Mus musculus: one gene and its partners. The protein of the gene in region 1 binds, or shares a complex with, the protein of each later gene. Links are inferred from orthologs where the notes say so. Each region holds a gene or a part of one and is shown in the gene's direction. Other genes may lie near its edges.

Region 1 (4,210 bases):
GTTTTTCCTGGATTTTGAATCTTTTCCCTCAGTGTCTTCACATGCATACTCAGGGGGAGGCGCTGGAATTCCAAAGAGAGGAAAGCTGACATAAGGCTCATTAAGAAAAAGATCATTCACATCTCACCAGAAATCTATGCAGAACTAGAGAGGCCTCCTGGATCTGGTCTGACAAACTCTGATCCACGTTGCTTTAATTTTCCCTAAGTAGGGGTGGGGTGGAAGTAACATTTGTACTTTTGCCGGTTAAACTAGAGGCTCACAGGCCCAAATCCCTTTCTTGGGGGAGCAGCTACCCATAATGCCGCGGTCCCTTGGGAGCAAGGAAGCTGATAGAAGCAGCAGGTTTCAGATGGGGTCTGTGTTAGGACTATCTTGAGCCTCCTGCAGGATACCTCACAGTTACTTTTTTAGCTATGTTTGAGAGGCCAGCCTTGGCTAGGGCACTAAGTCAATTGCTCTGCTAGGCATTCACAATAAGCTCCGGCTTCATTCTCTGCAACAAGTTAACTCCGACAGCAAGAACGCAACAGTTGCGGTTGCAAGGAAACTACAACTTCTACTAAGATTAACAGCTTGCATTACTTGGGGAAAAATGTGGTTCCCATACGGAGCTAGGATTTGCCCCTCCCCCGGGGGGGGGGGCAAGATTATTGACCCCTAGGAAATAATCTAGGGGTTCTCCAAGCTCTTGGTTTTTGTTGGTGGTGGTGGTGGTTTTGTTTGTTTTAATGCCAAAGTTTTTACAGCTTCATGGAGTAGGAGTGAAGGACAGCCAAATGTCCCTGCATTGCAAAGGGCCTGGAACAGACAAAACACAGCCGGCCCCGGAACCACTCATATGTCCGTCGTCGCAGAAATTTAGGAGAAGCGAATCCCTGCACCTAGCCAGCGTTTCCACTCTTGGGTTTTCAAAAAGATCAAAAACCGGAAAAGACCTGCAAACTGGCAAATCGCTAAGAGGAACAGCCTAGCAGGTCTGCGTCCTTGGAAGCTGCGCAGCTTGGGACCCCAAACCAAAATCGCCCGGTGGGAAACCCCAGGGAAAGAAGGGTTCTTGCAGAGGGCTGGGGTTACTGAGTGCAGGCTGCAGGGAAGTACCTAGAGGGAGGGGGCCTGGTCGGGAGGACTTTCCAGCCACTCAGGGCTCATCAAAAAGTTCCCTGTGCATGACCCCAGTGGCTCATCGCAGGGAGTTTCTCCGATGAACCCCGGCCCTGGGTTTAGGCTTCTCAGTGGAGGACGAGCCAGTTCTTTTTCTAGTCTGACTGGCTTGGAAATTCCCCGCGCCTGACCCCGCCCCTGAGAAATCCCCTGCCAGCGTTTATAGGGCGCCGCGGCGGCGCTGCCGAGCCCACAACAGTCAGACCTCGCCAGCCAGCCGCCAGCAGCCTGCAGCCTGCACCCGCTCAGCCCCGCACAGCCATGTTTCAGCCAGCTGGGCACGGCCAGGACTGGGCCATGGAGGGCCCGCGGGATGGCCTCAAGAAGGAGCGCTTGGTGGACGATCGCCACGACAGCGGCCTGGACTCCATGAAGGACGAGGAGTACGAGCAAATGGTGAAGGAGCTGCGGGAGATCCGCCTGCAGCCGCAGGAGGCGCCGCTGGCCGCCGAGCCCTGGAAGCAGCAGCTCACGGAGGACGGAGACTCGTAAGTGGCGCCGGGCACCGGTGGGGGTCGCGCGGGGCCTGCAGCGCGCTCGGGGTTCTGCACGGCGAGGGCGCCGGGGTTGCGGGGCGCCGGGGCTGCGGCGGGCCGCCTGTCTTCCCCCCTCCCCCTCCTCCCCTGTCCCCGGACCCGGAGTCGCCGAGCGCAGGCCGGGGGGGGCGGGGCGGCAGCGGCGGCGAGGACGCAAAGTCCCGGCCTGGCAGCGGTGGCGCGCAGCCGCCGGGCGCCGCGCGGCCGCGAGGGGAAGTACAGGGCGTTCCGGGCGGCGGAGGGCGGGCCGGTCTGGCCGGCGCCCGCCCGGAGGGGGTGGGGCACGGAAAGTCCCTGGGCGGCTGCCAGGAACACTCAGCTCATAATAACCTCGCGGAAAACACCGCGGCCGCGGCCTCCAGAAACCCCGGCCTTGCGCAATCCCCCCTCCAACCCCACCTCCAGCCCGCGCCTCCCCCCCCCCCACGCAGTGTGCTCACCACCCCTCGGGGGGTTTCCCTGTCATCCCTCAGGTTCCTGCACTTGGCAATCATCCACGAAGAGAAGCCGCTGACCATGGAAGTCATTGGTCAGGTGAAGGGAGACCTGGCCTTCCTCAACTTCCAGAACAACCTGCAGCAGGTGCGCTGCTTGCTTGCCCCGCGGGTGCCCTCTTTGACCCCTTGGTGGAGTCAGATGTAGCACGGTCGCCCCCAAAGCGTTTCTAAATTAATAGTCACTTAGTTCTTATCTGCCTTGGCCTTTTGCATTCAAATCAGCCAACGTCTTAGAACCAGAAGAAAAATCCCTTGGGTTTAGTGAGGTCTTTATGACCCACCTAGGGCCTCCTGTTTGCCTGATCTCCTAAGAGACAAATGGGAGGATCAGATTCCATAGCGGGAGGTGTCTGGGGTTCAGGAAACTCAAGACTATGGGTTTGCTCCATGGCTTATCCCTTTCTGTTTCCTCTTCCATTTGTAGACTCCACTCCACTTGGCTGTGATCACCAACCAGCCAGGAATTGCTGAGGCACTTCTGAAAGCTGGCTGTGATCCTGAGCTCCGAGACTTTCGAGGAAATACCCCTCTACATCTTGCCTGTGAGCAGGGCTGCCTGGCCAGTGTAGCAGTCTTGACGCAGACCTGCACACCCCAGCATCTCCACTCCGTCCTGCAGGCCACCAACTACAATGGTAGGTCTGCCAGTCCATCCAAGGATGCAGAGGAGGGAGAGAGATGGGGCCACTTGAGTCTTAAACTCCGAACGTATACAAAGTTCAGACACTGTGATCTTTTTAAAAAGTTTTCTCCTCGATGCCTATATGATATTCACTCAGAACCCAGATTCTGAGTTCTTCAAAACTGATGATGTTTGTGGTTGTCCTCAAGACAATAGACATGAGTTGTGTGAGGATTGAAACACGTAGTTACAGTTTTTGTCTTCCTCCTCCAGGCCACACGTGTCTGCACCTAGCCTCTATCCACGGCTACCTGGCCATCGTGGAGCACTTGGTGACTTTGGGTGCTGATGTCAACGCTCAGGTGAGTACATCTCCCTTCCACCTAATCTCTGTTGGGCTGGCTCTGATGGTGAGCAGGTTTCCAGATGCAGCCGTAAACTAACGCCTGATTGCTTTTGGTTTCAGGAGCCCTGCAATGGCCGGACAGCCCTCCACCTTGCGGTGGACCTGCAGAATCCTGACCTGGTTTCGCTCTTGTTGAAATGTGGGGCTGATGTCAACAGGGTAACCTACCAAGGCTACTCCCCCTACCAGCTTACCTGGGGCCGCCCAAGTACCCGGATACAGCAGCAGCTGGGCCAGCTGACCCTGGAAAATCTCCAGATGCTACCCGAGAGCGAGGATGAGGAGAGCTATGACACGGAGTCAGAATTCACAGAGGATGAGGTGAGTGTTCCTCCCCTCAGCACGCTGACGGCTGTTCTAGGGCTGCTTTGGATCAGAGGGATTTCAGTTGTTTAACTTCTCAGACTCGGCTTGCAAAGCCAGGATCCCAAGAATTTGTCTCTGGTTTGTTTTAAGAGCTTACCCTTTTGGGTTGAGGAATGAGGGAATTCTAGAAATTGAACCCAGGCCTTAGCACATGGTGATAAGCACACGTTCAACCATTAAGCTCCACCCCCTCAATAGCTTAGACTTTTTTTTTTTTTAAGGAAAGAATAGGTAAGGGAAACTCCTACAGCCTGGTGCCCTTGTTCTATTTGGGTTAAGGAGAAAAAGAGCCCAAGAATAGGAGTTATTTCAGCAGCAGCTCTCCCCTTATCCCAATGTCTTGGTGAAGTTCTAGGAATTTAATATGTCTTTTTCCCCTCTCTTGTTTTAGCTGCCCTATGATGACTGTGTGTTTGGAGGCCAGCGTCTGACATTATAAGTGGAAAGTGGCAAAAAGAATGTGGACTTGTATATTTGTACAAATAGAGTTTTATTTTTCTAAAAAAAAAAAAAAAAAGAAAAAGAAAAAAAATGAGAAAGGGTATACTTAGCACCACACCACACAGCGCCTAGACCCAGGCATTTTACTGGGGTGATTCGGCTGTTGTCTTTGTGAAAT
Region 2 (3,789 bases), on another chromosome or scaffold:
CTTTATGAGAGAGCAAGCACATGGCAGGAAGGCAAGCGCTTCCAGGTATTTCCTTGTAAAGAAAGCGAGTTCCAGGGCAGGTCTCGGGCTCACTAACTGTGTGGCCCAGGATGAGCATGTAAACAAGTAGAGTGGAGAGTGGGATTCTACAGACTTGAGAAGATTCTCCGTTAGAGCTGAAGGAAGTAAAGTTTAGTACATACTAATCCTCAGCTCTCTAGGAAACTTCCAGTCTGAGTCTGCGGTTGTTTCCAACAGCATATCTTTATCAAAAGATACATGTTCTGATAAACGAAAGCTGATCTTAATTATAATGTACCGCTGGTACTTCATAACCAAGGATTAGGAAGTTGTTAGCATGATATTTTCTAAATCAGTACTTAGTTTTAAGCTAACAGTGGATGTTATATATGGCTTACAGTGTGATAAAGGAGGGACTGAGGGCTGGTGAAGGATGATGGCAGAGGACATATGGAAGAGGAAACATGAAGGGAGAAGCTAGAGTCAAGGCCACCTTCACATACAAGAAACCAGGGATACTTGTTGTTCATGGTTTCATCTGCTGTCTTCATCGGTCGGCTTGCTTGTTTTCATTGCTACTGTCTGTGGTTTCGAACCAGTGTTTCTTTCCTGGATCTCTGGAGACCGGACTGCACTTTGACTCTTCCCCTGTGTTTGTGTGTGAAGTGAACATGCTGGTGTTTTACTGTCTGTAAAAGAAAAAGAAAGCAATCCAGAAACAAACAAGCAAAAATGTATTCCGTTTGTCAATACCAAGGGACCTTCCCCTAATCTGGTACTTGTTAGCAGGGAGGGCGGGAGGCTGCTACCAGTGCCACCTCTTTCAAAAGAAAATCTGATTAGAGTTACAGTGGACTCCCCAGAGTAGGCAGATACAGGGGCTTAGGTGAAGTGGGGTGCTGTCTCTGAGTGGGAGGGATGAAGAAACTGAAGACAGCAGCAGCTGCTTTGCTGGGGTGCTTGGTCACAGAAAGTGGTCATCCTGACTTAGAAGATCAGAAAGGAGGCAACACTCAGGGGCTCCTTTGCTGAACTTGAAATGGTTTTGTTCTTTCATCTGTCAGAGAGACGTTAGCACAAATGATAGAAGAAAATCTGAACTGTCTTGGCCATTTAAGTACTATTATTCGTGAAGCAAATGAGGACCAGAGCAGTAGTTTGATGGTAAGTTTTGTGTGGAGTAACTTCTGTTACTGTGATCAATTAGCCTTACAAAAAGCAGCGTAGGGGAGAAAGGTTTCTTCTGCTTATAATTATAGACTACAGACCACCATTATGAGGAAGTCAAGGCAGGAACTTGAAGTAGGTAGACGTAACAGCTACAGTCAGTCAGGAGTGTAGAGGAATGAGCGTCTGCATTCCTGGCAGTACTCAGCTCGCCTTTTCATAGTATAATACAGGGCTCAGCCCTCGGCACGGTGCTGCCAACTTTTAGGCCGGATGGTTTGCACATCAGTTAAGGAAATCAGGCTCATCCCAGCTGTCCTTGGCAGTCTCCTCTGAGGTGATTCTAGGTTACGTCGACTCTGCAAAACTAACTGTCCTGTGTGGTAGCATTGTGTCGACAGTGAGCATCCCCAGCAGCGTCAACAGTCAGATTAACCTTTCTTCGCAGTGTGAATGCATGTACCCCTTTGCTTCAGCAATACATTTTTTTCAGTAAGCTGATAGTTTTACTCTGTAATTACTGTATTTGATGCATATAAGATCGATTAAGCTAATAATAAAAGAGGCTGAATCAAGATTTAGTTGCTTTGAACTATTGATTTGTTAAAACTGGGAGAAGCTACTCTAAAATCTTAGCAAATTCACTGCATTTAGTTTTGATACAACTCTTTGTCTTTCCACTTAAGAGTATTTGACTCGGATTTTAAAATAACTTTAAATACTTTTTGAGTTCCCAGAAGATAAAGTAAGCTAAATTCAAACTCTAACTTCTGTAGTTTTAACTTTTTGAATTTTGAATATAAAATGTCCAAACATTAAAAAAATTTTTAAAAGTGAACTCTACATTCAGATAACTGCTAATTGTGACTTTGCATGCCTGCTTTTAGAGTCTTGATTGGAGTTGGTTAGCAGAATGACTCGACACTCGTTTACTGTCCTGGAGCCTACGAAGCTGTTTTGTCATTTACTCCAAAGTCATCTTTACTTGCTGAAGCCATTCCTCACTTACCAGTCCGTGAGGAGATGGCTGTGATCGGAAACTACGAGTGACTTTACAAGCACAGTAGCTTGGTGTTTTGTTTGTTTCTAATAATTATGATCTCTGAACAGATAGAATTTTATAGCAAATTAGTGAAATTAATTATTCTTTTTAACACCGCAACTAATGAGGGAGATCATTAGTGACCTGCTTATCTTATAAAATTGGAAAAATACTACTACTAGTTTAGCTGATGAAAAAGATAATCTTCTAAAGGCCTAAATTTTCGGCATAAGGCCCAACATGGTATTAGTATACAGGAATGAAAAATTCACCCAGTGTTCATTTGAAGTAAAGTTTTATCTATGGGTTTTCTGTGGAAGAGACTGCTGACAAGTAAAATTGCTCTTCCTGAAGACTAAGCCCAGCCTCCTTGTGTTGCTCTCAGCAAGTGTTCTTCATGGCATCACATGGAGTCAGATGAATCCCATCTTTAATCACACATTTAATAGAGTCCTTTTCCTGTGTAAGGGGTTGGACTTTTGTGCCTTTGATATCAGCTGACCATAATGAATTGTGTTGTGTGCTATATGTATATGTATTTAAGGTGTACATTTAATAATATCAAAGAGAAGATGCCTGTTAATTTATAATGTATTTGAAGGTTGTATTGTTTTTGCATTTGTAAAAATGGGTTACTTGTTTAAACAATCTTTTATGTCTTGTCATACAAATTCCAAAGGGTCTGCATTCCTTTATCTGTAATTACAGTCTCAGAATCCAAGTTCTGAAAACAAGGTATCTATTCTGATCTGACACTGGATCTGCTTATCCCATTTAGTGTGAATATTCATTGATTTATGTGTTTGATTATTGGGATGTGCTGCCACAGGCTCTCTTGAAGGTTGATGTAGTGTGGCGTATGCACTGAATTACCTTTCTAAAATCTGAACAGTTCTCATTCTGAAACATCTAGACTTAAGGGTTTCAGATAAAAGACTGCGGTTCTCTGCCTTATGTTAAATAACTTAGAAGATGTTATTTTGTTTGAAAAAATGTGAAATGCTTTTATATTCTAGTTTTTCACTTTGCATATTAAATGATTTTAAAATTATTTTGAATCTCTACTCATTTTAATACCATAGGCTAATATGGTTTGAGAAAATGTAAAGGGTCATGTGATAGGTTAGGAGCACTAGTGACAGGATAGATTTTTTTATCCTTTGTTATTTGTGTGTGCGCACATGTGTGGAAGCCAGAGGACAACTGTGGGGATAGTCTTCAGGAATATTGCCCTACTTTTTGAGAGTATATCAGTGGCCTGGAGCTTATCAATTAAGGTAGGTTGGGTGGACTGTGAGTCACAGGGTCTTCTTGTCTTTGCCACTACAGGTGGCTTCCACCATGCCTGGCATTTTACATGCATTCTGAGGAACCAGACTCAGATCCTCCTACCTACAAATCATATACTTTACTGATCAAGTCATGTCCCCAACCGTGTACTTCCTTCTAGAATTAAATAGACTTACTGGGAAGAGTTAAGGAACTTCCTTACTGTAATGTTTTTACCTAGGACGTACTAGTACTACTCTATGTGTCTAAAAACATTAAGACTCATCATT
Region 3 (3,645 bases), on another chromosome or scaffold:
AAACCAAACAAGCAAAGAAAAAAAACCCTCCAAATTAAAAAGAAACTAGTTCCCAAGCTGGGTGTGGGGCACACATTTGTATTTCTAACACCCAAGAAGACACAGGAGGACTGACAGCTTCATGTCAATCTGGGCTACACAGCAAGTTCTGGGCCAGCCTCAAACACAGGAAGACCCTCTCTCAAACAAAACAAAGCAAAACAACTCCACAAAGCCAAACAAAGAAACCCAAAAGTTATGAGAATCACAAACGCTGCCTGTCTATGTCCTTGAGGCTAAGAAGCTGGTATGGCAGGGAATGTTTGTGCCCATTAACTGAGTGAAGCCAAGGTGGGAAAAACTGGGGAGAAAGGTCTGAGGGCTCCAAATCAGAGCAGCTTTGCCTTGAGCTCAGGGGAGAGGTTCCATCCACAAAGAGCTGGGTCGCACACAATAGAGCCTGCTTCCGCAGATCCTATCACCAACAGCCAGCAGGGCTTCCTGAATCCAACCTCCAGCAGCCGAGGGAAGCAGGTTTTGCAAAGAGGATTGGGAAGTAGCAACTTCCTCTTCTTCAGTTTATTCTTATACTTGTGATGGTTAAAAATGCAATCTGCCACTTGTCTGCTATGAGGTAGCCTGGGTGCAGGGGTGATGCCTTCCTCCACCTCGCCTCTCACTACCTGTGCAGGCAGTCAGGAGAGCTGGCCTGGGGTCATGCAAGGGGGTGAGCTAGCCCTGTCCTTCACAGGCTTTCGAGAGCAGGCCTTGCATCTAGCCTGTGCTGCAGAGTAGAGAGGACCCTCGTGGAGGGAGCACAGTGAGCAGCCCTGAGGGTGTGAGAGCAGGAGAACTGGCCCTGCCCCTCACTCACAGGCTGTAGTGTATGGGAGAGTGGGTCCTGCCCTTTGGGCAGCACAGTGGAGCCAGCTCTGGAGGCATAGGGAGATCCGACAGCTCCCTATTTCCAGATGTGACTGTTGCATGTATACAGGAAGAGTGCTCTTCCAGTGTTGGCTACAGACAGCTGCTCTGGGAAGACATGTATTCTTTAGTGTGCTCACATGCACTCCACACGGTTTTATACATACATTTCCTATCCCACATCAGCCTTTCCCTTTAAGTTTCGATTTAAAATACTTTCTCAATTCATAATTTTTGCAAAATTCAACTGAGAGGACCTGTATATTTCCTGAGATTGAACCAGACGCTTACCTCCTAAGTTCCCCCAGCAGTTACATCCTACTTAACACAATAATACAATTAGGAATTGCAACAGATTCTAATCAGATCTCAATATTTGTATGTACTCATATGCATGGATAGCTCTGTAAGATTTTTTTTTTCCTAAGCTGAACATGGTGGTATTGTGTTTTAGTTCCTGTTATTCAGGTAGCTAAGGCAGGAAGAGTCCTTGAATATAGATGTTCCAATGTAGCCTGGGCAGAAAGCAAGACTGTTTCTAAGCAGAGTGAATGAATGAATGAATGAATGGTCAATCCATGTGCTTGTGGATGTGTATGTAGCATTGTACTGTGTCCCTGTCTTGGGTCTTCACGCTGTTTATCCTTTAGTTTCATAGACAGCTGGTTTGTTCTCATTGCTCCTGAAGAGAATGCTGTCATGTCCCCTAACTAGCTGCTCACTGTCCACAGGCTGTGCACTGCAGTGAGCACCTGCACTGTACCCATGGGTGCCACAAGTGGGTTTCAAGGGCAGTGTGAGCCCTGAGCTCCACAGATGGATTCTAGGGATTCCTTGAGGCACGCATTTTATGCGTGTGTAAAATGTAACCCTTGGGTGTTGGTGGCCCACCAGCCACTGCTTCCCAGCAGGAAGAACTCCCTGAATGGGAGGTCGGGCAAGTCCTCACTACACAGCCTGGGCTTCAGTGTAAAGCGCCTACAACACAGACTGGCTGGCATTGAGAGTTGGTGCTACTCTCTACCAGTGATCTCAGCTTTTTGACAGACACTTTTGTGATTGGGTTAGCCCCACTTGTTTCTGAAAACAGTTTTCCATGCGTCCTACTTACAACCATGGAAGCACAGCTTTGAGGTCAGGGTAGTCAGAAAGACCTCCCAGAGCCTATTATGCACAGTGCCTGGGATTGTTTTCTGCCTGAACTTTCTTAGGGAGAGTGCTGTATTGGCTAACTATGCCCTGAGGATCTGGTAGCACCTGTGATAGTATTACAGTGGAGCTTGTATCTGTGCGTCTCTTGAAGCCAGCCTGCAGCAGTGTGTTCTGGTTTAGCCTATGTACTTCCAGACCATTGTGGAAGGATGACATCTTTCTTGATTGCTTTCTTTTAATAGTCTATTTATGTTTTGTTGTTAAAAACACAGCATTGGTTCGATTTGCAAATGTATAGAATTACCAGCTATAGATAGATACCTATCAGAAATTCAGAGAAATTAAATTTTCTTCTACAAGAGTTAAAAAAAATCATGTAGCAAACGTATCCCATAACCCCGACTGTTGAATGCTGGTTCTCTCCGTGGGCCTTTGAGCCTGGCATGCAGAACAGGAAGCTCCTTGAGTGACAAATGTCCCTACAGTATGACTCCATAACGTAGCCTGAAGCCAGGGGCTACAGACATCCCTAAGCAATGGCTCTCCCTCTCCTTCTCTGTGTAGACACCTCTGCACTTGGCCGTGATCACCAAGCAGGAAGATGTAGTAGAGGATTTGCTGAGGGTTGGGGCTGACCTGAGCCTTCTGGACCGCTGGGGCAACTCTGTCCTGCACCTAGCTGCCAAAGAAGGACACGACAGAATCCTCAGCATCCTGCTCAAGAGCAGAAAAGCAGCGCCCCTTATCGACCACCCCAATGGGGAAGGTAAGAGCAGTCGCCTTGCTGGCTAACCGTCCCCTCTCGGCTGCAGCATAAGGGCTTGGCATTTGACAAATGCATCTGACATGACTTTCACCATGAATACTCTCCTCAGCCAGCTGGAGTTTGTCATATCTTGTGGTTATTTCTGCTGTTTATTACAGCAAACGCCCTTAAAGAGTATTTGTGAGTATTGCTTAGTAAGTGGAAAAGCAAGCCCGAGCAAACATTAGTCTTTATAAAGCATCGTGTGTGTGTGTGTGTGTGTGTGTGTGTGTGTGTGTGTGTGTGGAGAACGTTTACATAGTAGCTCAGTGTCTCCCGAGAACACAGTGGGAGCTTGTGGCTTCTGAAAGTAGAACAGTGGACCGTCTGAGGCTTTGAAGCACGCCCTGAACAGAAACCGGAAGTGCTGCGACCTGGTGGTGTCCCTCCTCCCCGCAGCCCAGCTCTGTCAGTCTCACCCACATCTCTGCCTTTGTTCGGCCTTAGGTCTAAATGCCATCCACATAGCTGTGATGAGCAATAGCCTGCCATGTCTGCTGCTGCTGGTGGCTGCCGGGGCAGAAGTCAATGCTCAGGAGCAGAAGTCTGGGCGCACAGCGCTGCACCTGGCCGTGGAGTACGACAACATCTCCTTGGCTGGCTGCCTGCTTCTGGAGGTAAAGGCGTACTTGTGATCTTGACCTAAATCCCCCTGGAAGTTTTAGGGAAGTCTTTTCAAAGAATGACTCTAGGGCCAGCTCGCTGTCAGTATTCCACTGTCTGCTTTCTGCATCCCCAGCTCCAGCCCAGCTCTCAACCTGGGGATGCCAGTGACAGAGCCAGCC

What was found. The genes of interacting proteins can lie anywhere in the genome.
Region 2: Nfkbia (region 1) and Chuk share a complex: the UniProt entries of both Homo sapiens proteins name them as parts of the 70-90 kDa complex. The link is inferred for Mus musculus from reciprocal best matches to the Homo sapiens genes NFKBIA and CHUK.
Region 3: the proteins of Nfkbia (region 1) and Nfkb1 are in contact, whole or in part, in a crystal structure (PDB 1NFI), measured with the Homo sapiens proteins. The link is inferred for Mus musculus from reciprocal best matches to the Homo sapiens genes NFKBIA and NFKB1. Residues at the interface, in NP_065390.1 of Homo sapiens: Asn108, Asn109, Leu110, Gln111, Arg140, Tyr181, Pro214, Cys215, Asn216, Arg218, Tyr248, Gln249; in NP_001158884.1 of Homo sapiens: Lys251, Ile252, Val253, Arg254, Met255, Asp256, Arg257, Thr258, Ala259, Pro326, Lys345, Leu348, Tyr350, Ile353.

The regions. Positions count from the first base shown.
Region 1 is NC_000078.6:55,489,742-55,493,951, reverse strand, and holds the start of Nfkbia (NF-kappa-B inhibitor alpha), read left to right. Parts: upstream 1-1,304; 5' UTR 1,305-1,425; coding exon 1,426-1,652; intron 1,653-2,173; coding exon 2,174-2,282; intron 2,283-2,621; coding exon 2,622-2,832; intron 2,833-3,092; coding exon 3,093-3,181; intron 3,182-3,285; coding exon 3,286-3,546; intron 3,547-3,982; coding exon 3,983-4,030; 3' UTR 4,031-4,210. UniProt on the Homo sapiens protein: Inhibits the activity of dimeric NF-kappa-B/REL complexes by trapping REL (RELA/p65 and NFKB1/p50) dimers in the cytoplasm by masking their nuclear localization signals.
Region 2 is NC_000085.6:44,072,827-44,076,615, reverse strand, and holds the end of Chuk (inhibitor of nuclear factor kappa-B kinase subunit alpha), read left to right. Parts: exon of another isoform or gene 1-850; intron 851-1,085; coding exon 1,086-1,185; intron 1,186-2,075; coding exon 2,076-2,105; 3' UTR 2,106-3,282; downstream 3,283-3,789.
Region 3 is NC_000069.6:135,594,041-135,597,685, reverse strand, and holds part of Nfkb1 (nuclear factor NF-kappa-B p105 subunit), read left to right. Parts: intron 1-2,619; coding exon 2,620-2,821; intron 2,822-3,307; coding exon 3,308-3,477; intron 3,478-3,645.